Styela clava: one gene and its partners. The protein of the gene in region 3 purifies or fractionates together with the protein of the main gene of each other region. This does not show direct contact. Links are inferred from orthologs where the notes say so. Each region holds a gene or a part of one and is shown on either strand. Other genes may lie near its edges. The genes, in order: DNA polymerase epsilon catalytic subunit A-like, threonylcarbamoyladenosine tRNA methylthiotransferase-like, MMS19 nucleotide excision repair protein homolog and cytosolic iron-sulfur assembly component 2B-like.

The links.
Region 1: the proteins of MMS19 nucleotide excision repair protein homolog (region 3) and DNA polymerase epsilon catalytic subunit A-like purify together in Homo sapiens (affinity purification with western blotting; 3 studies listed by BioGRID and IntAct, with this or other methods). This does not show direct contact. The link is inferred for Styela clava from reciprocal best matches to the Homo sapiens genes MMS19 and POLE.
Region 2: the proteins of MMS19 nucleotide excision repair protein homolog (region 3) and threonylcarbamoyladenosine tRNA methylthiotransferase-like purify together in Homo sapiens (affinity purification with mass spectrometry; 4 studies listed by BioGRID and IntAct, counting the BioPlex papers as one, with this or other methods). This does not show direct contact. The link is inferred for Styela clava from reciprocal best matches to the Homo sapiens genes MMS19 and CDKAL1.
Region 4: the proteins of MMS19 nucleotide excision repair protein homolog (region 3) and cytosolic iron-sulfur assembly component 2B-like purify together in Homo sapiens (affinity purification with western blotting; 11 studies listed by BioGRID and IntAct, counting the BioPlex papers as one, with this or other methods). This does not show direct contact. The link is inferred for Styela clava from reciprocal best matches to the Homo sapiens genes MMS19 and CIAO2B.

The regions. Positions count from the first base shown.
Region 1 is NC_135254.1:1,499,132-1,506,827, reverse strand, and holds the start of DNA polymerase epsilon catalytic subunit A-like, read right to left. Parts: upstream 3,025-7,696; 5' UTR 2,843-3,024; coding exon 2,769-2,842; intron 1,656-2,768; coding exon 1,493-1,655; intron 260-1,492; coding exon 1-259. UniProt on the Homo sapiens protein: Catalytic component of the DNA polymerase epsilon complex. Participates in chromosomal DNA replication.
Region 2 is NC_135262.1:13,444,026-13,452,134, reverse strand, and holds the start of threonylcarbamoyladenosine tRNA methylthiotransferase-like, read right to left. Parts: upstream 3,008-8,109; 5' UTR 2,853-3,007; coding exon 2,689-2,852; intron 881-2,688; coding exon 768-880; intron 59-767; coding exon 1-58. Other genes in the region: uncharacterized protein LOC120332139, read left to right, coding at 3,741-4,249, 5,512-5,697. UniProt on the Homo sapiens protein: Catalyzes the methylthiolation of N6-threonylcarbamoyladenosine (t(6)A), leading to the formation of 2-methylthio-N6-threonylcarbamoyladenosine (ms(2)t(6)A) at position 37 in tRNAs that read codons beginning with adenine.
Region 3 is NC_135262.1:13,141,758-13,149,354, reverse strand, and holds the start of MMS19 nucleotide excision repair protein homolog, read right to left. Parts: upstream 3,019-7,597; 5' UTR 2,948-3,018; coding exon 623-2,947; intron 143-622; coding exon 1-142. Other genes in the region: uncharacterized protein LOC120332922, read right to left, coding at 6,503-6,688, 6,762-6,985, 7,056-7,316. UniProt on the Homo sapiens protein: Key component of the cytosolic iron-sulfur protein assembly (CIA) complex, a multiprotein complex that mediates the incorporation of iron-sulfur cluster into apoproteins specifically involved in DNA metabolism and genomic integrity.
Region 4 is NC_135255.1:15,933,933-15,940,535, forward strand, and holds cytosolic iron-sulfur assembly component 2B-like, read right to left. Parts: upstream 1,957-6,603; 5' UTR 1,918-1,956; coding exon 1,447-1,917; 3' UTR 535-1,446; downstream 1-534. Other genes in the region: organic solute transporter subunit alpha-like, read right to left, coding at 15-157, 389-443.

The DNA of each region.
Region 1 (7,696 bases), on a different chromosome or scaffold from region 3:
GGTTCACCGCCCGTTGGATAATTTGCCTCACGCTTGATAAATCGTCGACGTGCATGAATGATAATTTTAAATACGTCTGCTTTAATCCAACTAAATGATTCTGTAGATCCAAATCTTCTTTTTTCTTAATTTCGATGGAAAAAATTTTCGGGAATTTTCGCTGCAGAAATGAAATGACTTCTTTTTCTGTCCCACGTTTTGTCAAAACGTAAAAATATGGCTTGAAAGGAACAGAGACTTTGAATCGTTCACCGTCATCCTGTTAAATAAAATTTGAGAGATTCAATACAAGAAGAGGCCAAATAGGAGTGTATTCACTCATTACACCGCCCCCACCCCTGAAGCCTCAACCGACAATGAAAAATTATACATTATGCATACACGGAACCAATTATACATTGAGGTATTAATTTTATGAAAATCATTACAATTCAAATTAATATGCTTTAAAGCAGGGGTGTGCAACAGGCGGCCCGCGGGCCACAACCCGGCCCGCCAAGACAATAAGTGGGGCCCTTGTCAACACTCAGATATTTTCCCACTAAGCATCAAATTCTAACCTGACAGTTCATGTTTAAAAAAGCGCACACAGGGGTTAAAATCCATAAATTTGAGTCTTTCGTCTTTTTGCCTTTATTACTGAAGACTGAGCGATATAGCCTTTTTGTGGTGAGAAATTTTTAATTCATTATGTACCCGAAAGATATTGAATTTTTTGAATGGCCCGGCTAGATGTCAGAAGTTGGTTATATGGCCCCCGACAAAAAATGTTGCACACTCCTGCTTTAAAGGTATGTCACCTGCACAAAAAAAGCTTATAATATACTGCTACAATAAGGGTTGAGATAAAATATAAAATATTAAAATTTTGGAAATATTTTGAATGAAAACAACACAAAAAAAAGCTTCATTTTGAGCTAGTTGGTCATTTTTGAGAAGTGATATTCACAAAAGAATTTTAGTAAAAAGTTGTTTAAAAGCCAAAATGTACATTTTCCTCATTTTCTCAAAAAAACTTTAGTAAGTTTCGCCCTTTTGAATTAAAGCACTCAATTAGTTTAATCTTTGAGTATGATAAAAGATTTAAAATTTTGATTATCCAGTGGTCTGGGCTCCAAAAATATGGAAGTGAAAAACATATCACAGGCCAGTGTTAAAATGAAGAGTGCGTTGGTATCTTGAACAAAATAACTGCACAAGTGCTCTGGCTGATATTAACAAGTAAGGTGACTTAGCTTTTATTTAAACAGTCAGCGATTAGGGGTTGTTTGAAATGAGACATCAAACGAAGAGAGGCGAACAAAAACCAACTCTGGAATTTTTTTAACATTATTTCGCTATTAATAACATGCAATTTATAAACACAAAAACACCACTTGAAATAGCAAATTGCATCCTATTATTAAGGGCACTACTTTCATTGAAGCAAAAAAAAACTCCCCTTCTGCTCCCCAACAACTTAGAAACCACTGGTTCATAATATATATCTTACCTGTAAGAAATAGAAATCCACTGCACTGATCATTTTCTTATCTTCATCCAAGATATCTGCTTCACACATGTTTATCAGCCATCCCAGCTTCTCACACGGAAGAGATAATTTCTTATAGCCATATCTCTCGTCCATCTCTTCAGATAATTTCGCTTGTTCCAGTCTGGGAATAGAAGCAAAAGTCACACGCAAAGTCAGCGAATTGCTAACCTCATGTAGAGAAATTGGCCTCTCAGGCGGGCGGTACTGAAATGCCAATATCGCCGTTATTTCTTGACCGTTTCTTGCAAACTTGGTATTGTTTTGTTTATTTCGACTAAGAAATATCTACTGGCGCAGTAATTACTCAAATCAAACAAATTTTAAATTTTTTGTAATATATATAGCGTTATGAACTAGGAGGATTGATTTACATTATCCTACAAATCTGAATCGGGCCAAATGCCCCCATTCCAGAGATGAGTAGTGTGCTTGTTTCATTGTTTTAATACCGAGTCTAACGAAGTACACATTGCAAGTGCTTAAATGACGCTAAACAAAAATATGATGTGAAAATACAATATGGCACACTATCCGAATGCCCTGTCAATAAAACAAAAACTTCATGTGTCTCACAAACGAGGGGCGTCTGCTACGATGGCAGATGAGTCATATTGCGCCATGCTTGCCTCAATGATAATCTAAATTAATCGCAGACGTAACGTGACCAAATCTGCCGCTTTTTGCTCCAAACTCTCAAATGCCACGGTAGAAAATTTTTTACTTTGGTAAATCGGATTATTTTTTACCGGAGGAATTGATGACGTTTTCAGATTGCGATTCTTTGTAGTTTGTGCACAACTTCATTTTACTGTATTTTTACGGATTATGAGTGTCCAGACGTCCCCCGAAGAAGGGGTCTCTGATCATCTGCAAAATGGGTTTCTCTGAAACGAGACAATGTCGCTCGATCTGTATAGTGTGCTGTACTGAAATAAATGCTGGAGCTGCTCAAACCTCAAGTTTTTTTTATTGTTTTCTGCAATGGAATGCTACACCCTGTTTGGCATAGAATGAATATACCAGCTTTATTGAGTAGATTTTATTCAAACTGAAAACGTCTTGTCAATAATTTCATTCCATGCTAGACAGACTTTTTGAAAACATCAAAATTTAACATCACATTTCTGATTGCTTACATCAAATTTTCAGTTTGGTGTTATTTCAAGGAGTTATGACGTTTACTTCGCTAGGCCCTAAATACTTCGAAATCTTTGAATGATTGAAAGAAACAAACCTTTTTGCGGCACCATCTTCGTTTTTAGACCAGTCTTTCTCCTTCACTAATTTTCCGGTGTTTTGTAGCGGCATTTTGGTCAGTTAAAGCTATTTCAACCTATATTTTTCACTACCAATTCACATCCTATAATACACTTATCGTGTATTAACTCTTAGAACAAGCTATTACTGTATTAATGGTAAATAATAACCATTAGCGGCTTTCCTAACTAATAAAACGAAAAGCCAAAACCGCTACGAAAAAAGCGGGAAACCAGGAACAGCGGGAGAAGACTAAAAATATAAACGATTATTGTTCCTACACGGAAAATAATATTTGGAAAAATGGAGCGAGAAATGTTAAATTTCAAAATAGACCTAACGAAATTTATTAAAAAGATTGAGGCATATCTATAATTTCAAAAACATTTTTTTATTGTCTTAAGCAAACTAAAAATCCCGGAAGACCAAATTACCACTGAGTCATAGCTAAATTTGGGAAATATTGCCAGCATCACCGCGAAAACGAGCGCATTTCCACATCCGTGCTCACAAACCGTGTTGCCGGTTGACCCGCGTTTAATTTTTAATTAGTCGTCCAAATGCATACCGAATCTGAATTTATTTTCTATTCGAATTATTCTATCGCTACCTTCTACCGGTATGTTTCAACAGCAAGAGGGATATATAAAGGGGAAAGAAAATATAGAGTTGAACCATATATTTACGGTTAAACCAACCCCGTGTACCTCCGGAAATTTGGTCCCGATGTTGAATTCGCCGTCACGCTCGACTTAATGCTGACAGATTATTGCTTCGAAAACCATCGTGCGACGTTCTGCGTTTTTCTGTGCTCTGACGAGCTGTCTCGCGTCAAGATTAAGTGAGTGACTTATAAATATTCAAGTTAGTTGTGCACATGGAATATTACACGATATACTTGACTATAGAACTCATAGAATGCAGATAACAAAACAATGACAACAATTTTATGATTACCGGTACTGTTATTGATTAATAGTATTTACAATAATTTGGACGTTATTTGGCTTGTTGTGGCTTCTATTTGATGAGTGAAGCAGGTCTAGCCCACCTCTTCATACATCCAACTTGGCAATTCTGATTGGGCAATTTGGCATTAGGTGACTCCAATTATAATCAGCTTGACGATATCTTTTGAGTAATACTTTTCTATCCACAATACATTACTCTTGTTGACTAATTCGGTATCCAATTTGGCAATCCTCATAAAATTATTAATTTGGTGTGGCAAAAGAATTTATTCATTTTTTTTTTTTATTTGTTCGTATATTTTCCTTTCTTTTTACTTTTAAGTCTCGCTTTTTTCGCTTCCGACAGTATCATGTCTCGATGATTGTGTGTGTGCGTGCGTGCCTTAATTAGTTTTTTTTACTTTTGGGAGCGAACACGTACTACTTCTTTTTTCAATACCTTTCCATCTAAAATCTGTACGTTTCAAACCTTACTCTAGGTTTTGTTCGCTTTCCCGATTCTATAATCAGTTACTTTTACTTTTGTTTTTATCTATTTTTTTATCGTCTATTGCTGATTATGGAGTCGAAATAAACTTATACTTATACTTATTATAAAATAGAAGAACAATCAATTGAGTGGGAAGGCGTTAGGACCGGTCCAGCACTCGAAAGCACATTGACGGTAAGATTTTAAATTCACTTTAAAGCTCCCATGAGTAGATGTAGTAGAGAGCCGCTTTGTGCTACGAATGTTCAGCATAAAAGGAGTAAGTTGTAAATGTTTTTATTGGTACCCAATACAGTAATGATTTGTCAAGTCAGTAAATTTTGATATGAGATATGTATATTTTCAGGAAGGAAAGGATTATAAAAAAAGTTACAGTGTGAGGATTTATGCTGTGTGATCAAAGCAGTGAGCAAGAATATAAATTGAATGATGAGTGATGCTTTATCTCAAAAATCAGAATTAGCTTACACTATATCAATGAAAATTTTTGGTGGAGCAACTAAAACTGTCAGCAAAAAAAAGAAATGTGGTGAGCGATACCACCCTGAAATTGTGACGTCCGTATGAAAAACATAGATTAAACACACATATTTTAACTTCAACTAATAAGTGTTTTATGATGGAGTTCCACCGATCTTGATAACTTTTTTCCATTCTGTCATTGTATACGAAGTCACCAGCTGCATATTACAACATAAGAGGTATTTTACGTTTGCCATGATAATCCATATTGCTTGATTTCAGGCTGGTACTAATAACTTTTTTCACATAAATTGGATAACTATTATTGCTATTATCTAAACATGGCCTCAACATAGATATATTTATAATTTTGGATGTGCCAAAAAATTTTGAATTAGTTTGTCGAGTATTTTTAAGGAATTGATTTGTGATCAATAGCAATAACTTTTTTGCGACTGCAAAATCCATCACGTTCATTGAATGCATTAATATTTCTCCTGGAACCGTTATAATTGATTAATTTTAATTTGTTTTGTGGGGTATTCGCATTTTTGTTTCAAATAATACCTTGTCTAAGTGGCTGTTATACTTATATATATAAACACATACATGTTTAGATGGTAGACAAGGTTCAATTGTTGTGGGCAATTTATTTCAAAATACCGTAACTAAAATAAAAAAAATTGCAGACGTCTCGAAACTCATTTTTGAAGAATGATTTGCTGTCACCAGATGGGGTTTTGGCATGGAAACACATCTAGAGGGAATTTATGAAGATATGTCTAAAAAACATTTGAAACAGCCATGTAAACTAACAGACCAACATGTGAGAGAGATTCATTGCTACAAAACAATGTCAACACTATTATAAACATAATACAATAACGAAAAAAATTTCAGCTGTAATGACAGTGATTAATTATTGCTTTGTGCGGATCGGTGTGCAAGACCGATTAAAGTCATCTAGGCTCCCTTGTTTATATGCTGTATATAAGACTATCATGGCATAAAATAGTACCGTAGGTGGATGCAAGCGAGAATAAATATAAATATATAAAATATACATAAGATAAAGAAATGAGTCGACAATTCAATGGTATTATGGAAGTTATTATTAAGGGCAATTTAGGATTTTGAGAGGTCATGTATTGGTTGGAGCCGGACATGTCCAATGGAAAGATTTTTGCAAAAAGCATTTTTTTTTATTGGGCATTAACCGGGATAAAAATGGAATAATAGGGACGAGAAATAAGTACATCACAGATTCAGCATTATAGCAAGCACGTGAAGTAAAAGTATCATTTCCCACCTCAATGAGTTCACGAGAAAAGTACAGGGAAAAAAAATTGTAATAAGCACTGAATATTGTATCGTTGCTACCAACATTCATATCTATACATGTTTAACTCAATGGCTTGATAAAAATGTCTGTTAAATATTAAGCACAGGTATAGCACAAAGAATTGTTTTGGATAATAATTCATTTGTATTTTCTTATTAGATCTATTTCCTATTGAGCATTTAAATTTGGAGACAAAAGACTGCAGTAGATTAGCCAAAATTTCATAAATTTTTTTTTCACACTGAAAGTCTACAACAGGTGATTAGCTCAAGAATTTTTTAACAAAATAAATGCTATACGGCTACATGCAACACATTCTGTAGTGATATTTAAAAATCAACAACATTTCATTGCTTCTCCAGCATATGAAGGGCTTCAAATGCTGGTACCTTCAACATGTGATATACCATATTAGACCAAACATCTGTCAGACCCCCCTTTAAGTGTGAGATAGTAGTCTTCAAATTGTTCAAATACTATATCATACATATAAATTTTTCGTGGCGTGAAACACCTCTTAGAGTTAGACCATCGGGACTATTATAAACCCCGACCCCCCCCTCTTCAAAATCTTCAGCTATGCCTCACCCTATACATTGAATGAATCGACAACAGATTTTCAGTTTAAAAGATGCATATTTTGCAGGTCGCGGGGCAGGGAATCCATCGGTGCTCCAGTTGATTGAAAAGCAGCAAAGAAAAAGAAATATGTAGCAATGTCCACGTGATAGAACCTAAATTGCGTTTTTACTCCAGCTAAGAACCACTACCAAAGCCTTAAAAAGCATCAATACCACTATTAATATAACTTGATATTCAGTATTTATTCACATTAGTAATTAAAATAATAATTTTTATTCCTATGGATTATTGAGAAAAAAACTTGGGTACTCCAGAAATACGTGTACCAAGATGACGGACAACGGAACATAGTATGTGTACCTGGTTAGGCCATACTTTTAGGTACAAATACTACGAAACTCACTTGGTTAGTCCCTGAACTCGTAATAGAACTAAAATAAGGACATTTTGGCCTAACCCTAACGTGGTACACATATTACGTTCCGGTGTCCTCCTTTCTTGGTACGCATATTTCAGGAGTACGGAAACTTGACTGTAATCACATATATCTTAATCTTCGTTCTAGCTGCTGTGTTTCTTCAATTGGTTTCGTATTTCATGTGTCCTATTTGATATCTTGTTGTTATTATTTTGGCTGCAGTACTTGCGTATACATTTGCTCAGATCTTTTGAATACTTTCTCAAGTAGTGTTGTTACATCTTGACATTCAGTTACATTGTTTAATAGGTATTCGCTCATGAATGATTTGAAAATATTTTTCTTTTATATCAAGTGTCGGATGTTCAATGATGTGATGATGGAAATAAATTTAAGCTGATTGCATGTGTTGAGATAGCCTTTGTATAATCATTGACTCGGTCTTACTACTTACTGAATACAGCGCGAAACACCGCAAAGAGCGCAAAACAGAGGGAAACAGCGCAAAACAGTGTGGAAACAGCGCAAAACAGAGGGAAACAGTGTGAAGCAGAAAAAAATTTTGCAATGAGTTCGGGGCACCTTGTTTTGAGTTGGAGTACCATGGCAGCAAATTAAAAACACAAACCAACGTATGTAG
Region 2 (8,109 bases), about 300 kb from region 3:
GCTGGATTTTTCACTGTACAACTATTTAGAAGCCATAAATCAGAATTCTGACAATCATCTGAAAATATTAGGTTATATTCATAAATACAAAATAGAACTAGCATTCGAAGATGCTTATAAAAATATCCGTGAATTACATCCATTCATTTGATAACAAAACTACAGATATAATAGACAAAAACATCAAAAAAATAATTTGTAACTAGTGATTAAGAGATTCCTTAATCAGGGAAACAATTATTTTAAAAAGTAGAGAGCAATATACAAATGGACACGAAGGTTGCGTATTGGTACCGTACCTCAAGACCTGATAAGCAGAAGAATCTAATTTACGGAAAAAATTGGTGGACAAGTGTGGCGGAGGTGGTCAGCACAAGTGAATAAAAAGTGCAAAATATTAGGCGTAACATGGGGTTCCATGGAACTCAGAGGAAATTGGAAACAATAAAAATAATATTCTTCTAGCGACTTCTTTTTATCTTCAAGTAGCCTACTGACGATTTTAAATTGATTTGTTCATTATTTACCCTGAAAAGTTTTTTCTGCAAAAACAATCAACCAGCTACAACAACAATGATTTAAGAAAACGATACATAGGTCCACTTTTGTGTCCAATAAGCGAACAAATTGGATACACAAATAAACTTCTTAATCTTATGTATCAAAATTGTTCTTAAAACAAGATATAGGTCTACTCTTGTCCAAGTTGTGAACTGCGAACAAACTTTATTTAAAACAGTTTTCAAGTTTTCAATTCTACTTGATACCTGATATTTGATATCCGAATGCTGCAAGTTGTCCAGCCATGTATTCAGAGTCTGAAGAATTATGAGAACAACCCCATGTTTGCATGTAAATTCTCTGGGTGCCAGGAATGATGCTGCAAAGAGAATATTTTAAATTTTTGATACGACATATTTATTATTTTCTGTGAACAAGGCTCTGCACAAGAAGCCTGTGTGAGAAACTAATATAATTTTGAAAAACCGAAATGTTTTGAATTTGTCATTCTCTACCCAACTTATAGCATGCTGGTGAGGTAGTGGGCATCAGATTCATGTACACTAAGACAGGGGTGTGCAACATTTTTTGTTGATGGGCCATAACATAATCAACTTCAGACATCTAGCCGCGCCGCACATAAAATTTAGTTTTTCCATGCGGGAAAGGCAAGAGAAGAAAAGGCACCTATTGCTCAGCCTTGTGCCAATAAACGCACTTGGCAAAAAGGAGAAAGATTTAATGCAGCGACAAGAGCAATAAACATTTCACGTTCATGTATTTTCACCCCTATTACTGTCAATGTTCTGTTTGTAACAGAACCAGCTGAAAAATACGGGTTTCATGAAAGAAGCGGCTGACAAAAAATTTGAATCCCACAACTGGTTGTGGCCCACTTGTTGCACACCCATGCGCTAAGAAGTATATTTATATAGTCAACAAAAATATGTTCATACTCCGTTATACAGTCTTATAAAGTGCAGCGAAAAATATAAGTCTATTTATTTCTTCGGTTTGTGACAGATACAATGTGAATATAAAAGATTCCCAGAATTTTATTTTTAGTGAATATCGCTGTAATAATGTTGTATCTATTATTTGAATGAATGTGAAACACTATTTTATATTTCAATTTTTAATTACAGCATTTATTAATGTTATTTACACTCTAATAAATAATAATCTTATACGGTAGTGGCTTAAATCTGAACCAAAACAGCAAGTGCAGTTTTAAGTATTCTGTGGCGTCTGCAGCTGCCGCAAAACCATGGCGGTATTTCCATACCATGGCCGCTACGGCCAATTCTATGGCGACTGACATTTTAGCTGCCACAAACCAATGTCGAGCTGCCGTTACCGCGGCAGCAAATTGAAAACCAATGGCAGGTAAAATTTTGCTGCCGTAACCACGGCAGGTGGGCCGTAAAGACACGGCTGTCCCTTATGGTGACAAATATTGGGTAAGTTGGAACGTTTTTCTTATGGATACAGTTTTGATGGATTTGGGGTTAGGGTTAGAGTTTAAGTAGATATAATTCCACATGATCAATTAAAGTCTGGTACATTAATTTGTGAATATACCGTTAATACTGATTACTGAATACTGAATAGCGCTATAAAACCATGGCAAGAGCTGCCGCGGTTCGTTCGTGACAGGAGCTGCCATGAAGTGGTAAGAACTGCGCCTCCAAAACAGAGCAATCATTTCACATTTTAATTTGGTCCCTAGGGCCCTATGGAGAGTGGAAGTGGTGACTCCTCTACGGCCCATGGGCCGCGGCCCATCAAGTTGTGTAAAGGGACTATTCACTTGGTTAACACAGTCAGTCCCCGAACTCATAATATAATGTACTATAATGTGAAAAACCTGAGAAAAATTTGTCCTAACCCTAACTTAGTACACATACTACAGGAGTATTTTTTTCTGTTGCTTGGTATTTTGCTTTATTTTTATATAAAGGCTTATCGTAAGAAAAAAATTTGGTGGCATCTCGCGATTTTTTTCGGTTCGAATATTGACAATTTTGTAAAAATTTGGTAGGATAATTGAATTTTTTCTAATGTGGCCAAATTAGATGGGCCGTGGCCCCGGCCCATGGGCCGTAGAAGAGTCACCACTCCTGTAGCCTATGGAATGCTATTTCCACATTGTGGGATTGAAGCAATTCGAATAAATTTTCAACTAACCTTCCATTTAAATTTTCAATCCTTTCAGCATTTGATTTTTCAATTTTCAGTCGATGATTTGTAATTTTAGGAACAACCTTGGATTTATTAGCGTACAGGCGGCTGGTATCTGGGGAAACATCTTCTATGTCCTCAAGTACATTATTGTCGCTGCAAATCACCATTGTACACTTTTGTAAACATTAGTTTATCAGTAAAGAAGAAGTCCGATGTCTGACACCACGGGAAAGAAAAACCACGCTGTTACAACTAACACGGCAAATGGAAAACACATATAATAACCCTTCCCGTCTCCTCGTTAGATGTCACCGTAGATTCGCCATCGTTCACAGGATTATTTTGGTCACTTTTTACGTCAGCGAACGAAAATTAGTCGGCGGATTGGCTTTTGTTAGTGAATGCAGAACGGCAGAGTTCATCTCGTATGTCAGTATGTTACCGTAGTCGTTGGTTCATCTATACTAGTTATAGCCAATCTGGTAATTTTTTGTTATCACCGAAAGTAAGGAATGCTTTGAATTAGTTAACTTAGGTGTAACCGGTACCGGTATCGAATTCAGACAATGTTTCCTAAAAAGTATAGTACTCAAGGCTGCAATGTGAATTTTGCTGTTTGTTGTGACTCACTAACTTGAAAACGAGAAGTCACATACCGGTAATCAATGTCATTTTCAACGATACCGGTATCGTATTGTGCAGGTTTACATGTCGCAAAAATTCAGTTGCATTTTTATAATACCATCTTATTCTTGTGTGCCATCGTAGTCCGAAAACTTGTGGGCCCAAAATTCTGTATAATCTACCTTGATACGGTTTATGCATATTTTTGTGTGCTTTTGCAGTTTTGTCAGAGATATCAAAATAAACTATGTCAATAAATTAATAAATGAATTAAATTTGAATATACATTGCCTATTAAATTAAAGAAGGAATCGTTTATTTTATATATCGGAATATAGTGTAATCAAAATGAACATTTTCTTTTACATTTTCACATAGAACTTTTTATTATGACGTAGAAACTTATAAATAGCAGATTTAATTTAACGCTCATGGCTCAAATAGTAATTATGTTGCCTTTTCATGGAAATATTTTGCAATACTCCGACTCATGTGCGGAGAAGGTTGTTTTGCAAGCCTTCAGTGACATGAGACGAGAAGATGCCATTTCAGTATGGTGTGAAGATATAACAAAAGCAGCTATTCGTCTCGCTGGAACTTATGACAATTTCACTCAAAAGTTTTTCGGTTATGTGCTTTGTGAAGCGTTAGAGAAATACACAGAACACCATGCGTTGGTTCATCACCTTTTGCCGTGGGCTGATAAATTTTCAAAACATCTTATATCCAGTTCTCTTGAGACATTTAAAGAATGTACCAATTTAACTGAAGAAATATTTGCTTCATCAAGAGTCGAACTTCGTAAAATTGCAAAACAACAAAAGTTTGAGGAATGGGCTAATAATGAAGCAAGTGCAATCATTAATTGTGGAATAAGTGAATTTGAAAAAGAAAACTGTGACAATGGAAAAAACAAGTTTTCTCCTCAACTCTGTATCAGGTCAGTTAATGTTTCGAGTATTACTGTTGAATGAGCTCGCTGTTCGTCACATCGTGTCAATCATTATGAACATACTTGCCATAAAAGTTCTTATTACTTTATATGAGTTTTAATCGGTCGGGGGTTAATTTTCAAATGATAATTATGTTTTAGAGGATTGTCGGACTCCTCAATGTCACAGGACAGGGGTGTGCAACAGGTGGCTCGAGAGCCACAGCCTGGCTTGCCAAGCCATTTAGTGCTACAGGGGTGGTGACTCCTCTACGGCCCGTGGGCCGGGGCCGCGTCCCATCTCATTGGGCCACATGGGCCGTGGCCCATCAAGCTATGGGCCGCGGCCCTATCAGAAAAAATTCAATCATCTTACCAAAATTCTCAATTTTCACAAAATTGTCAATATTCGAACCAAAAAAAATCGCGGGATGCCGCCAAATTTTTTTTTACGATAAGCCTTTATATAAAAATTAAGCAAAATACTAAAATACAGAAAAGAACACTCCTGTAGTATGTGTACCAGGTTAGGGTTAGGACAAAATTTAGTTCAGATTTTTCACATTATAGTTCTATTATTAGTTCGGGGACTGTCTGTGTTAGCCAGGTGAATAGTCCCGTTACACAACTTGATGGGCCGCGGCCCATAGCCTGATGGGCCGAGGCCCAATTCGATGGGCCGTGGCCCCGGCCCATGGGCCGTAAAGGAGTCACCACTTTCACTCATTTAGTGTGGCTCTTGTCAACACTCAGATTTTTCCCATCAAACATTAAAATTTTTTGTGTGGCTCGGCTAGATGTCTAAAGATGGTTATATGGCCCACCGACGAAAATGTTGCACAATCCTGTCATAGGGTTTTAACATAACCGCTGGCTGATTATGGTTTCCTCCACTTCCAAGTCCATTTATCTGAAAACGAGTAGGCTAACTGAATAACTATTTCTTTACTGGTGCCTGTGCAACATGACGTGGTTTTCCATCCCCCAATTAATAGAAAGTGAGTTATATTGTACTGTATTTGAAGCTTTCCGTATGTATTTGATTAACTTGAATAATCACAATTTAAATTAAATTTTGAAAATATTTTTTCACATCCTATTATTAGTTATTCTGCATAAAATGTTGATTTCTGCATCATTTCTTTGCAATATACAATCAGAATCAACTGAATAGATACTAATATAATTTGACTCGTTTTGAGAAAAAGTAGACTTTGTTCTGGAATTTTTCTTCAAAATTTTTTTTAAAAATAATATTATATATTATTCAGAATTCATAGGAGCAGCATTGATGATTCACACGATTCATATGCGCAAAATTTTGTCGAAGATATCTTTTCTAAATTGAAGATTGGAGATTCCCGTCAGCAGCATTATCATCGTCGGCAAAGACCGCTGTCAAATTCTTCGCAATCAGATAAATCTCCTCACTGTGGAAGCTGTGAATCCATTTCAAGGTTTGAATTTGTAGACATACTAATTATTTTGACGCTTTCCGCTCCAAACAAGGCTCCTCGCAAGCAGGCACTTAGTGTAATGAGCTACCTGTACTCTGAATTTTCACGATTCGGCATTGCCATTGCCCGATTTATTACACCAGGGGTCGGCAACCTTTTGTCGCTCGCAGGCCAAAATTAATTGTTGCAAGTCATTGGCGGGCCGAAAGTTGAAAACCGAACCGATGACACTTTTTATAATAAAAATCAAGCAATGATACGTCTCTCGAATAAAATATAGATTTATTGCCTAATTGTATTCCAAAACAATTTGCTCTTATATTTTCGGCGTTATTGAACCCTTTGTGTTTTGTTGCCATTTGTCTAATTATAATTAAACTATAGGTTAATTAAACGAGTAATTGTGAATTATGTATATATACCGTACTTTATGTATATATAGGTAATAATATATATTAGTCTACACATGTCTCACAATAAATTCTGTTACGTAAAGAATATAATCGTCAAAACAGCTGCTTTGTTACTATAATTTAGTGAAGCGTCGCGGGCCGGAATATATTACTCCGCGAGCCGTAGGTTGCCGACCCCTGTATTACACCCTGGGTGATGTGGTTGGCATTGGACTCGATCCTGAGATTCAAACTTATTATCAATTTAATCTTAATATTCAGATCATTTGACAATGTTTTTGAATATACTGATCACTGGATTAGTTGTGCCACAAGCTGTTAGATGTTATACAGTAGTGTAAAATTTTCACAAAATTATTTGTTCAAATGACTTTTTGTGATAAAATATGATTCATTTTTGGGTGAAAGGTATCTGTTTATACTATTTGGAAACAAAATGAATACCAGAGATGGGATTTTTAATAAATACCAAACCAGTGGTTCTCAATCTTTTTTCTCTTGTGGCCCATTTTAGTTGCACAAAAATTCTGCGCCAATCAACTTTCTCATGAAAGTAGAAAACTACAAGGAAAACAAAAAATTCTTTCCAAAAAATGAACTTTTCCACTTTAATAGTTGAAATGAAAATTACCACTCAGTAGCAAAAAAAGGTTTATGGCCCATCAACCCATATGTTACTGTGGCCCAGCAGTGGGCAATGGCCCACTTGTTGAGAACCAGTATACTAAACTATTCAGATATTGGCCTTCTCAATGAAATTGTTGAATAGCTGCTATCGGTTTTTACCTGAAGTGTCAAATTGTTTCAGGTTCTGCCAAGAATGTTTTTCTAAAGATGTAAGAAATAAATATTTTAATATTTCACACCAGGGTTCGCCATATGATTAATTAAGCTGTCTTATCTTGTGTATCTCCTGGGATGAATATAAAAATCCTGTTCGAATATGTGGCAATTTGTAATATTATAACTCTGACCCGTTGTATTATTAATGTATAATTGTATATAATTCTACCCTCTATCTTTACTTACATATAAATGTCACATTGATTAAACGTTGTTGCAATCTAATAATATAATACTGTTTAAATATTTATGGGTATGTTTTGATGGGCGTACACTCGTATTTATATGACAAAACATGTTTGTTTAATTGTAATCTGTCAATTTTTTGACAAATTCTTCCGATTACTGGCGGCAAATTTCTAATGTCTTGTATGTCTATCGTAAACTACAATAAATCGTTTAGTTTGGTGTTTACATTATTAATTTAATAACAGTAATTAAATACATTTATTAACTGAATGACGCAAATTAGGCTGGTTTCTTGTGATAAGGCGTAATTATTATAATTTCCTTTTTCATGTGTTCGTCCATGATTCATTCATGGTTTATTTAACAATGCCAGATCTTGCGTGGGTCACATATAATCATATTTTAACCTTGAGAATGTCCTACGTCAGCAAACTGTATAATATATAATCACAGTGTTCACAGCTGCCAAATAGTGTAAAAAAAAACTATAAAACCAATTACCATTTTATTGTTAATGAATATGATTTTAGCTCTCCATCTCCATGGAGAATCACTTTAAAACACAGTTTTATAGCTATGTGCTACATACAAAACTAGCCAACTTGGGTGTTATCAAGTAGTTAATATTTATTATTCGACAATGACTAATAATATTGCTACGCAATTTGATTATTGACTGTTGTCATGTATTTATATCTTAGTTTCAACATAATACAGACAAGACATATCATGTCTTTGAACTTTGGAATAATATTCTTTACTAGCGAATGTGTGGTAACTATTACGTCAATGACTCTTTCTTAGAGGGAGCCTGCATATTTTTTCTAATAGTCAATTATTTGAGGATAACTCAACAATGATTGAAATAAGAAAAAGATTTTATTCTACATTTGTTTTTAAAAATAGTTGAAATATAAATTTTATTGACAAATAGCATTCAATTTCATATATGAAAACAGTGTATTTC
Region 3 (7,597 bases):
AAAGGATGTCTGCATATCTCATAGTGTAGGAATGAGAACGAATAACAAGAGCTTTCGTCACCCAAACGATCAAACTTAAAATTGCAACTTTGCTTTCGACCAAAACGGAATCGTCAAATAAACAATCACTGATTTGAAGCACCTGGTACAATAATTTTAGTTTATTAACCATTGTTCATCACTTAGGATAGAATTTGCATATTTATCCCGGGGTGAGGAAAGTCGATAAGACGGCTTAACCATAGGGCAAACCACAGCCTCTTGTACGGTCAGCAGTTCATGTCTAGTATAGGACTAGTTAGCCAGTTACTTGTTTTCGGAAGCATGAAATTGATGGTGGAGGAAGACGTAACCGGCCTGCGGTTACATGAACCACCTTACGGAGTCCAGCAATCCCCCGTTACATAACCATCCCGCATGGGATTCAGACTTGTGAACCCACGCTTAGCATGATGCGTCACACCACGAAGCCACTTATTACTGCAAACGCTTATTCATTATGTGATATTAAGTTATATTGTTTTGTTTGATTTTAAGATGTTCATCTATAAAACATCAATTTTTACCCAACGACAAAAAATTGTAATGTTCCGAGATAATTTTAAAAAATATTTTATCAAACCTTGTCAAGAAATGCTGTAGATGGCTCTTTTTGTTTGTTGATGATGCCAGCAATACATTTTGAAGCGGAAGCATATGATGGTTGATCAATTGTCTCTCCACAAAGATGAAGCAGTTTTTCCAGGAATGTGTCAGGGGATGGAAATAAAACTTTGTTATGGAATGCACAAATCGTCGCTGTTAGGATAGAAATCAACCTTGTCTGCAGTGGTAACTTAGTGAATAAAAATGGGTTGAACGTAGATTTGTCTATTTTGATATCAAGAGAGACCAGATCACAATCCAGAAATATTTTTTTCAGATTTACACAAATGTTATCTGCGATTTTTCCAGGCTCTAATTGTTGACAAATTGTTCTTAAAATTTCACAAGCTTTTTGCATGATTGGCCACGTAATACAATTACTAGAAAAACTCTGAAGATCGCTGCATGTAGAGCAGCATTGTTCGGGGAGAGACGGTACAACAGATAATTTGACGCAAGTCTCAATCAGAGGAAATACAAGTACATTTGCAAAATGATCCACTGTGCTTTTATCTTTGACGTTTCCTTTCACAATAACATACAATGAATCCAAGCAAGCGAGTATCGTTGAGACATTTTTCTCATCCACGTTTCTTGACAAAACTTGTTCCATAAGCAAATCGCATGTTATAGATGTTACTTCAATACGAGTCGAAATACTGCATATTGTTGAAAGACATTTAGTTTTGTCTTGCTGATTTATGGAAAATATTCCTGTTAGAGAGATTTTTAAAACTGGTAGTAAATGTGCTATAGCGACATCAGGCCATTTTGAGGATAAAAATCCACATGTCATGTGTAAATCGTTAAGAATTGCTGTATCTTTTTCATTATTTAAACAGTTAATCAGGCTATGAACAATTGTGATCTGTTCCGAAGGAGTTATTAGTAATCCCAAATTACATAATGCGGCAACGCCAGCAAGCGCAATGGTACGTAAATGTACAAATTCATTCAGAGAAAGTCGACCGCAGAAAAGTTCAATTAGATCATTTTTGTGCTCGGACAAAGGGTGCGAACCCATGTCATCCTTGAATTCATGCAATGAAGTAGACTTAACAGCATTTACAAGAACTTCCATTGCCAACCGTTTTTCCGCGATCATCATATCTTTTTTATCTTGTGATTTTAACAAAACTGGAACCATGGAAGACACAATAATTTCGCAAGATCGCTTAGAAGCTTCGGAACATGAAATCATAAGTTTAGATGATGACCAAGCCATTACCTCTTGCAAATGGTCAACTAAATGAGGTAAACACGACACTTTTACATCTTCTAAAAATACATCTAACTCTGATTTTTTCGATACTTCTACAGGTGCTTTGGACAAAACGAGAACAATTCTTTTAAGCAGATCATGGCATGCTTCTTCAATTTCTTTAGAATTGGATGACAGCACTTCTTTTCGGATGCAAATCCAGAGAGATTTTACATGTGATTTGATATCTTCACTAGAATAAACATTCATGCAAGATTTTAACGTCAGGATTGCATCAATTTTAGCACTTTGAACATCTGATTCCAGTTTTTCTATCATCAATGGAATACAAAACGGAGCAAATAACAGAGAAGACGTTAAAACTCTCCGCAAACCAATGACAAGCTCTTTATTCGTAATAACAACTTTATTTTCGGATAGATCTGAGGGGGGATGAAAGTCTATTGGAAAATAACAACCAACAACTTCGAAAAATTCTTCAGCAAATTTTGACAGATCGAAGCCAGACCGAACAACTGAATACAAAAGATCGAAAACTTTCAACAAATTCCTTGGATCTTGCTCACCATCAACTGCTGTAATTACACCATATACAAATTCATCACCTAAATTTCTCACTTCAGTCGTAGAATGTTCTAATAGATTGGCTAAGAGTTCATACACATTGCGTCTATCAGATTGCATGCAGGATGGAACATGCACTTCCTTGAACAAGATTTTTATAATAGATTCAGCTGCACCTACTTGAAGATCACCACGAGAACTTAAAGCTACAAGACATTTTAATGTGGGAGATTGAAGGGAAAAATGATCTTGTAAACGTTGACATAAAAACTCAATAATAACTGCGGATTCTTTCGATTTTAAACAGCTTGGATGTAGGTCTGATAGCACAGCTGCAAGTAAGTTGACTGGCTTCAATCTCACATCTACATCTGTACTGGTTAAATCATGATGCAATGTTTCCATAAGTTGAAGAATACTTCCTGAGCCAGTTGAAATTGCCAATATAATATCTTTCACTAAAGAATCCTTCTCATTTTCATCATCCTTTAAATATTTTTGTACAAGTTCTTCCATGATTCATATGATCAGAGCAGTGAACAATGTAATATTTTTATTTATATTGATCAGTATATATATCTTGATGTTGACTAGTTTGAATATAAAAATTTAATTGTTATAAATAATATTACCAGAAGAATCGTATGTACATTCAGACATTGGCATAGTGCTGTAGTGCGATTTACCAAGGCTTGTAGGTTAGAAATCAACTTTACTTTTAGCCCCATAATATCTGGAACAGCAGTGCCAACAATATTCACACTACTGCACTATAGCTGGTTTAAAACTTTAGATTTGTGCCCTTGCATTTTATTTTTTTTGTTAAATTGAATTCCAGGGATAAAATAGAATTGTAATAAAAAAGCATCCAAGTGTAAGTCAAACTTCTGAACTTTCAATAATTAATTTAGTACCGTACGGTACGGTACCGTACCGGTACGGTACCTATTTTGGAAAACAATCACATGTACTCTATACCGGTACTGATTAATTAGACAAAGAATTTGTAACCATGTACGGTACCGGTACAGACTGACAGATGGGGTCTGGTATAGTTTAGCATCCACTTCTAGTTGGCCTGGCTCAACAATTTTTGCATATGTCAATCCTATCCACCACCTGACTACGTCACCGAAAAATTACGTCATTCCGACGTCACAGTGGCGTAAAAGGCCCACCGAAGTATGCGGATGGTCGTCCAAAACGCGCAGACGATAACCCGAAATCGAGCAAGCTATTTCTCTCGTTTTCTCGTCGCAACGATCACGATAGGATAGAGATCGCCGGCCAGAACTTTTAAACTCCCCGTCCTTCCCATTTTCATTGCTTGATAAGGTCATTTCACACGGCAGGACGGTGTTTTTACTTTGTTGAGCATGAATTATTTGTCCATATTACTGAAATAAGGATTTGGAATCTACCAATCAAAATACTGAAATACCAATCTGACAATATAGCCTAATAAATACGAGGCCCATGAGTGCTCAAAGCCTAAAAACGGGTGTAATAACTTCTAAAAAGATGATAAATTAGTTGAAGATAGCCAAATAAAATGCTGAACATGAAAGAAGCAACATGGGCATTGGGAGCAACGAGTGAATCCGATGGATGTTTTCTCGACCCTTGACCCCATGAAAATTCTCTCTACACTTTACTATTTTAAAATTTCGGATGCTTTTTTTGCTAGTGTTTTGGAGAGTTGGTATTTACATTTAAGTTACATAATTGAAACCATAATTTGTATCAAAATATACGATCAGGTGCCGCTAACAGGTACTGATAGCTAATTTTAACATGGTCTAATTTTTGATTCTTGCAACTAAACTGAAGATCACCGGGAGACATAATGACAATTAAGTTACCTCATTCACAAGAGCCAAAGTTTACACAACCATGCTTGAACTGATGGATCATTCATGATAAATTTAAACTGACACCAGTGATCGACAACCTCTTATATATTATTTGCCTATAATCCACGTCCTTTAAAAACCTTACTTGAACCTTTAAAAATCTATATATTCACATAACTTACTTTCGTTCCTCAGTATCATACTCAGGCCACTTTTAATTGGGCCACCCTGTAAATTCGATGGCGCATAGTCTACTATAGTTTACTAAAGATCAGTTGATGCGCCTACAAGGTAACACAATATAATTGAATTATTTGAACTTTAATAATATTTCTTTGCCTATAATCCACGACTATAAAAAACCTTACGTGAACCTTTAATAACCTATACATTCCCATTCCCAGGTTGGGTATGTGATTAGTTAGCCAGTTATTCGTTTTCGGAAGCATGGACTTGGTGGTGGAGGAAGCCGTAACCGTGAACCACCCTACGGCGGCGAGGAGTCCAGCAATCCTCTCGCACATGATCATCCCCGCATGGAATTCAAACCTGCGATCCCACGAAGCGTAATCAGAGATGCGGTGGCGAGCGTATTCCTAACGCTTAGCCGATGCGCCACACCGCCGAGCCACTGTTCGTCTTTGTGCAGGATACGGTACTCTATGCTTTTCGGTGAATTGATGATAATATATTTCGTCTTGTTCTACGTGTCCGTATATTTGAGCATAGCTCTCTTGTTTTGTAAGCATGTGTTTGAAAAGAAAGCTGACGAATTCAAATAGATTTTCAATTGTATGTGGGAGAAAAAGTATCACAAATGCTTGCTTGATATGTCGGTGATAAAAGAATATAATTTTAAAGCGGCATTTTAGAATCTTGTGAGTAATGGCATTTTACAAAGTTAAGATTTGGTTCGAAAATTTTATCGAGGTTTGAAAGCACTTGCATTTGCGGAAGCACTTTTCTCGTTATGAAGAGTCTGAAATCTTACACTATATATAGGAAGACTTTTGCAGGTTTTAGCTTGATAAATGACAAATACTGATCAATGTGTGTTGCACAATAAAATTGTTTGCTGTGCACCGTTCACTTATTCTTGATATTATTGTGGCCCGCGAACAATGCAAAAATGATTTTGTGGCCCTCGGAGCGGACAACCTTGGACCACCCTGGTCTAAAGCAACGATGGGCAAACCGCGGCTCGCGAGAGTTTTTATGTGGCCCTTCTCGCTAGAATTTATTATTATCCAAATGTAGTGTAACAATTTTTTTAATTTATCAGGCAGTAGAAGAAATTTTCATCAATGATTAAGACAAATTATGTTTTAGTATGAAAATCGTTGTGGCATGGAATTTTAAATCAGTAAAAAAAATATTGCCGATGTTGTCGCAGTCAACAGCCCAAACGCAGGTTTCGCGTCGCACTATACACAAAGGCACATTCCCAAATCAGTATCAATGTAACGTTAACAGTTACAATGCAAAATGATTTAATGAGCTCTAATATTGATAATTTTGAAAATTGTGCGGCTCTCACATATTTCGGACTTGCTACATACGGCTCTTATGTCCGCGGGTGCGAAATTATACAGGTGCAAAAGTCTTGTGCAGTTTACGGGTGCAATGCAGATGTGCTGTCACCTTATAAGACTTGTAAAATATATTGCCTATATGTCCAATGTTTGTTAGCATTTTGGTATATCTGAATTAAAATAACTGAAACTCGTATTAAACAAACTTTGTGTTTTAAAATAGAGAGACACACAGAAAAAATGTAGGAAGTACTGTACTGCTACATTAAATAAAATGAGTCATTTGAACCTTTCTTGCGAGGACGATAAAGCATGGCACCGGTTTTATTTCAAAAGAACGAGGTTGTTTTAATAATATAGTGAAAGTGATTTGGTATAGAGTAAACTCGTTGTTTTGTTTTTAGGCTTACGCACTCTGTAACATGGAGCGCAAAGATACTAGTTTTCACCCAATGTTTTGCTAATATAAACTCTACTTGCGACAAAAAACGTTTCATGCAGTTTTTCAGTGCTGTTTTAGGTATTCTAATAAAACAGAAGCAATAAGAAGAAAATTGTTTTACAAAAGACCCCACGTTATCGAAAATATTCTGGTATCACTTCTACGATTTTTAATCATTGAGTTATTCGGAATTGAAATTTGATATACAAAATCATCACTTGAACAGAAAACTGTCATGCAGTTTCTAATTTGGATAAGAGCAAACTATCCCATACATTCTATGGTTCGGCGGTCTATTACTCATTGCTGATTCTATCTTTTGGGAATGATAAACTAGCACAATGACATTTGTCCACTCGGTATAACTGTTGGGTGGAGTTGATAATTCATTTTTCCACTGGATGTATGTGTTCTTCGGGACATCGTACTCCTAAATGAGATAAGATGAAAATGTTGATACGGTCACGCTATAAGAAATTATGAATGATGAAAACGACACCTACGATTGGATTTATCTCCACTGCGATCCAAAATGCATAATGATTTATTTCGGGTGAAGGTATTTTGTATCGGAAGTATTCTGTTACATTCTGGAAAGTCTCATTGTTTGGAAATGTCGAGAGAGTTGAATTTCGGTCTTCGCAATACTGTTGTGCTTCTGTAAAATTTATCCGGTGTTCCAAGATTCTTCCCCAGTAACAAGTTCCGTTAAATTGAAGTTCGCAACCTAAATTGAAAAACAAAATATTTTCTATTTTGAATATACCAATTTTTTGTTAGTTTCCATTTTCACGTACTTGTGCTTGGAAAAGATGCATTAGCGTCTGTTACTTCTGATGTCATATTGGATTTCGACGTTGAAACTTCTTCATTACTTTTTGTAGAAGTTGCTGAAACAACTGGGGTGACTGTGCTTGAAGTTGTGTCGAGGACTTCGGTTGTGGGCGTAAAATGTGGAACATTCCCAGTATTTATGTTTGTTGAAATAACAACGTTAACTTCCAACTGATTTCGGGGCAGGAGCTCTTCCAGCTTCTCCGACAGTTGTTCTTTTAGTTCTGTTGCAAAATGAATTAATGGCGACAGGGCATAATATTATATGACAATAAGAAGATGAGAGCTGTGTACAAATTCACGAGAAATCTAGCTAAATGCGCATATTGAATTAAATACTTACTAACTTTCGATTTTCAATGGAGTATAATATGACTTTTAATTAACGCCAGTGTTTTGTCAAGGAAAGAAAAATATAAACAAAACAGAAACTTTCGGTTTTCAGCGGAGTATAATATGACTTTTGTTTTTGTCAAGGAAACAGAAATATATATACATAAAAGAG
Region 4 (6,603 bases), on a different chromosome or scaffold from region 3:
GGCGTGAAGTGTACCTGTATAATAAGAATACTTTGCAGTCTTGATGAGGTTGATGATTCACGTTTAAAATGAAAACAATCGTTTAGGAATATGAAAATGAGAAGCAATGTCGTCAATCCTTCAAAACAAACTGCAACTGCTTCGGCTGTCGATATGTCTGAAATAAAGAAATAAATTTTTTAACATACATGCAATTTAATTTAAATTCCTGCTTTTCTGAAATTATCGAATATAGTAGAATAGTATAAGACAGATGTTTTTATACCCATCTTCAACTAAATATTCACATTTGAATATCAATATTTCATCTTAGGAGACAAAGTAACTAAAATTCGTCACATTATGAATGGTAAAAAAATCAGAACACAAATAAAAAAGCACTACTTACGAGCGAAGAATGTTGTGATATTAGGACTAACATTATTTGAACAATTGTTTGACATTTTTTGTGAAAGGAGTTGGTTATATTCATTATGTCCTGCTAATAATTCTCAATGTTTCAGCTATGTTATGAGCATATTGTATAGTTCCAAATCTAGGCAAAAAAATATACAGATAATATTAGCTTGAAGTACTAACGAACTATTTAAGTTCCTCATTAAGGTAAAAATTAATAAGTATTGAATAAATTACTCGTTTACATTTAAACCAGCAATCATCATCATCATATGAGCACTTTTATGTGAAAGTATTTTGTAAATTTTAATATGCTATGAGTAACCTAGCAGTTATTATAACTGGCATGGCATTGTGACTACAATTATAGATCTACTATTGTTGAAATCTATCTACCAAAAGCTTGAAAAGCAATTGCATAAACTTGACTCAAAAAAATCCGCAACATGGCGACGGCATTGCATTTGTGAGAATAATATCAGAGATATAAATCATGGTATAAACACGTTCGGCAGGATAATGAAGAAGTGTTCTTATGGACAACCATAAACAAGACCATGAGACTACATAAAGCTTTTATGACCGTTTCACTGCTGGAAAATATACAAGTAACATAAATATCCACTACATCAGTCGCTTAATTTTTCCTGTCTGCTGAATTAATAAAACATGTAAAATGAAGCATGGTGGTAAATTGGCAGTCATGCTTTGATACCTATTCAGTTTCACACATTTTGATCTAAAATTCTACAATCATATTTAGTCACAGGATTAACTGTCAAAACTGTTCAATTAAAAAAAAAAAAAATTATTCTGCAAAGTTGTTTTTCACGTGTTTACATGAATATGCCTCTGCCCGTTCCAACGGTCTGGAAAAGAGGTGTTGTTATCCGCCATGCATCGAACCAAAAAAATACTAAAGTGCTCCACACCACACATACACCGCACAATCGAAAACATGGAACAACTTCTTCCCCATTCCAACACGCATGAAATATGTATATACATATTGAAAGAAATGTCAGACAATTCTGTTAAACAACTATTTTGTTAGTTTTTCACGGTCAAACATTGATTAACAACACCCAATAAATGATTGTTTTCAAGAGCTGCCGCTACTCTTTCTTTGTCTGCTAGTTGTTTATTAACTGCAGTCTCTGATTGATGTGTTCCTTTCGCAATTTTTATTTCAACTTTGAACCTTGAAGGTAAAGCTCTTAGAAGTTGTACTCTGATTGCTAGTCCAATTAATGTAGCCATGCTGCAATGAGGTATTGTTGGAGTAAATGAAACAATGACGGAACTAGCTTTATCATCAACAAAAATGTCTTTTTCATTCACAACTCTCAAGTCTTCCAAAGTAAGTGGATGCTCTGGATCATTGATATCACGAATCAAATCAAAAATTTCTCTGGCATCGATTTCATCATGAATGTCGTCATCTTGGTTTTCTTCCCGATATCTCGGAGTCTGAGATTCATGAACTAGTGGATTAGCGTTGTCTTTAGATGAGAAGTTCATGCTTTTTACTGTTATAACTGTATAACATAGAGAAAACAAATTTTGAATGTCATTAACGGAATTTCATTTCAGTAAAATTATGGTGTTTTTGTAGCAAATACAAGTACAACCAAGAACTAAGTAAAGAATCTTAATCCCCATGGCTGAGTACAGAATAAATTATCTCATTGTGTATTGCTGTACTGCTCAATTCAGATATTACAGCGGCTCGACAGTGTTGTGCACCATGATAAGCGTTAGGAATACAGGAATACCGGTACCACAGCACCACACATCTGATTACAATGCGTGGCTTTGCAGGTTTGAATCTTATGCGGGGTTACTATGTACGCGAGGATTGCTCGACTCCTCGGTATCACCGCTGTGAAGCTAGTAGAATTTGACCTTTGTGTGCGGCGAGGCGAAAAGGTTAAAATTCTTGGCAGAATTAAGTGTATTCATCTGAAAACAAATGACTGGTTTAAGCAGTCGTACTGTCTTTCCTCACCGGCTCACCCCCGGGATAAATATGTAGATCCTACTGTCCTATCCGACAGTATTATGTAAAAATTATTAAAATAACAGAACCACATTATTTTCGGGTCTAGTGTAGTTTCGTACCTAAAGTACTTCTAGTGCTGTAGTGGGTGTATAATCGGAAGGTATAATACTAAGGCAGGGGTGGGCAACCCCTGGCACGCGTGCCAAACTTGGCACGCGAGTGCATTTATTCGGCACGCGAGCGAGGCCTTGGGGCGCAGGGTTCACCTGGCTATATTCTCACGTAATATAGTTCATTATGTGTCGCCCTTTTTCGTCATTTCTGCTTGATTTGTGAAGTTGTACAGCTCATATCGGGTATAGTTACTGTTATAAATTAATTTTGAAAGAAATATATATAAGCGATAAGGGAAGCGAATACAAGAGAGAAGTGCGGAAATCGGGATGCCATTCGCGAATTTTTCGTGTCTTAAAAACTTTGCAACTGCACTACTCTCCATGTTTTCATCTACATACTGACATATGCTTGTGAATCTCTGTTCTCAGTTATAAACCTTATTAAGTCTCGCAACAGGAGTAGCCTGAAAGATGAAACCAGTAGTTCGTGTATTTCTTTGAAAGTTACAAAATATAAACCCAATGTGAAATCTCTATCAGCGGTAATGAAGCAGCAAAAGTCTCACTTAGATAGAATAAGAAAAGTAATTAAATCTATTTGTCGGGAAGATACTTACACTAATAGTTAATCTGTCTGTACATGTTTAAATAGTTTATTATTGTGTATTTTTGCTTTGAAAGTAGCAAAGCATTGTTTTTAATCTTGGCCGGCACGCGGCGGAAAAATGTTGTCATTAAATTTAACCGATTTTGGCACGCTAGACGAAAAAGGTTGCACAGCCCTGTCCAAAGGCCTAAGCCAGGGGTCACCAAACTACGGCCCGCGGGCCGGTCCGGCCCGCAATAACACGCAAACATTGCTAAATATTTTTCCAAGGGAGATTTTCCCGAGCATCGTCTTCCTTGTTTAATTCGTAACATTGGCCAATCTGCAAGATGCAAAAACGTGACGTAATAATATTTCTTTTCGCTTCCGCTCAGACACTTTTTTCACCCTGATAGATTTTCAGTCGTGGTTGTAAACAATATTTCGTTTTTGCGACTTTAAATGCTATTCGTTAGTTTTTGGTTGTGTTTCGGAAATTTAAGTATGAATCAAATAAGTCAATCATCATTTGCGTCCTTAGGAGTTGTAGTTTTAATAGTAGTAAGGAAAAATTAGTCTAGGAATAGCTGTGACATAATAGGCTAAATTTCTCTACCGGTACGCGGTTTTCTAACACTGCATAACGGTACTTAGCAAACGTGATGCGTATATTTTTTGGCGCGAAAAAGCGGATTTTGAAAATTCCTAATTCACGACAGAAACGTTTTGATACCAGCTAAACTCAGGATAGTTGTTTAGATATTGAAATCTTTCATATTTGTTTTCCTAGGATGTTCCTGATCTATATTCTGCGATATACATAGAATTTGAATCAAGTCTTCAGAAATGTAGAAGATATATTGTTGAATGGATTTCCCAACTTTTGTGAATTTATTATATTGCATTGACAAGAATATTCATCCGGCCCGTTTCAACACAGTTTGAGTCATACCCGGCCCGCGGTCAAAAAAGTTTGGTGACCCCTGGCCTAAGCTGTAGAGCAGGGGTCGGCAACCTTTTGTCGCTCAGGGGACAAAAAGTTAGAGTTGCAAGTGATTGTCGGGCAGCCCATATTTTTAGAAACCGAACGAACGCATCCATCACTAGAATATAGATTTATTTCCTCATTGCATTGCATCTCAAAAAATTCCATTGAATATTTTCGGCGCCATCGAACCCTTTGCACTTAGCTTGAACTTTTCTGCGTTTTGTTGCCATTTGTCTAATTGTAATTAAATTATTAAACGAGTAATTGTAAATTTATGCTTGTTGGATTATAATATAATTTAGTCTACACGTGTCTCACAATAAATTCTGTTACGTAAAGAATATAATCGCCAAAACAACTGTTTTGTTACTATAATTGGGTGAAGTGTCGCTGGCCGGATTATATTACTTCGCGGGCCGGAGGTTGCCGACCCCTGCTGTAGAGCTAAAGGATGTTTCCCCGGGCATCGATTTCCTTGTTTATTTCCGTAACAATTACAAATCAACAATACGTTAACAATGAAGTGACAGTTGGAATTTATGCCGTGGATCAGACAGATATTCAAACACGGTTGTAAACGTTCCCTCTTTTGGTAGTTTTGCGTGTTGTTCGCCAGTTTTAGTCCCTCTGTCACTTTTGCCGCTGCGGTCATATTCGACAACAATTATGGCATTTAGTTATTATTAATAGCATGCAACAATCATGCTACATTAATTGGGAAAGTACAATCAAGTAAGAAGACGCGTATAAAAATATAAGTTTATTTTGACCTCAAAAACAGCATAAGAGACGATAAAACAAAGATGAAAAAAAAAATGAATAAAACTGATTACAGAATAAGGAAAGCGAACACAACCTTATTAAGTTAAGTTCAAAACGTACAGATTTTAGATTAAAAGATGTTGTCAAAAGAAATGGTACGTGTTCGCTTTCCCTCCCTTACTCGATTTTAAAAGTTTTATTATCGTTACCTACTTGTTATCTGTAACGTTGTCAATACATTCAAAATTGTACTTTTGGTACTCCCGAATAGCGGACACCGTAGGCCTAACCCAGTATGCGTACCAGGTTAGGGTTAGGCCATAATTTCACGTAATAATACTACGGGTGTCACTTTGCTATTCCGCGAACTCGTAATAGCACTAAAATTGGGATAAAATTATGGCCTAAACCTAACCTGGTACACGTAGGCTACTATGTTCTGGTGTCCGCCATCTTAGTTCACATACTTCGGGAGTACCGATTTTTTAATATAACTAAATTAACAATTTTTGAATGCAGTCGAACATATCTGAATGCTTTGATAATGGTTGCCTGTGTTAAGAAAACAGAAACTTAAGTACGCTAAAAACGATTGCAGTGATTTTACCCGAGATGCCGCTTTCACGAACCGTCTCGGACCAGTATCAGTTTCATACGTTCATACAGTTACGTTCCACTCCTGTGGTTTCCGTTTCATAACATCCCTTGGGTCGCCAGATGGTAATTTTTAAATCTATGCTAACATTCATCGGTGGGGTGTGGGGCATATAAATCTTGGCAGATTTATTGACTTGTTGGCCGTAACGGTGGTTCTCTCCAGCCTTGCTGTAGCTCGTAAACCTGGTCGAAATTGTGGGTAGAATTATATTTGAACGTTGAACTGCCGTCGGCCGGTTAAATGTAATCGTTATAATGGTATTTTTAAGCTACTAGTTATGGTATTCGGATATCAAAAAAGTTGCACTTATTGTTAGATGTAGACAAATATAATTTATTGCTTCCCTACGTTGACGCCGTCTAACTTCGTTGGCATAATTCGACCAGATATAAATCACAAAAAAGCTAGGAGGGGGCTGATAGGACAAGAAGGCAGCTATCATCAGACATGGGGGCATGTTAGCAAGTTGGCCGGACTTAGGTAGGTGACGCATTGATGGTATGGGCAGACGTATGGAGACTCTGGAAGGCGGGTTAGTTATAGGCAGGTATGGTCAGACGTAGGGAGACGCTAGGAAGCGGGTTGGGTGTAGGCGGGCATCTCGGATGGGACACCAGAAAGTGGGTTGGGTGTAGGCAAGCGGGTAGGGTGAGACATAATAGACGCTGGGAGGTGGGTTGGGTGAGAGATTGAGGGGCACCATGAGGCGGGTTGAGTGTAGACCTCCACATGTGAGGGGTAAGAAATGAATTAGGTGATGTTGTAAATATGTAAGGGTGGGAAGCGGGTTGGGTAGTGCCAAAATAGCATTAGCTTGGGTATACAGTGGAGAATCAGATTAAATGGCTTATTTGTTATGATAGAACATAAAAATTAGCTGTCTTATCAAAATATCCCATATATTTGCTTCAAATAATGGAAATCTTGCTTCAACTCATCAGAAAACCTGTGTTTATTTTTCAGCCTTTTGATGATTCAACGACCGGATAGATAGATGTTAAATTAACGCAGGGTTTATACTTCGTATCATAACTGTAACATGGCAATACAGTAGCTCTATCTCTCTCATTCTGAACTAGTAAAGTGAGTTGCTAA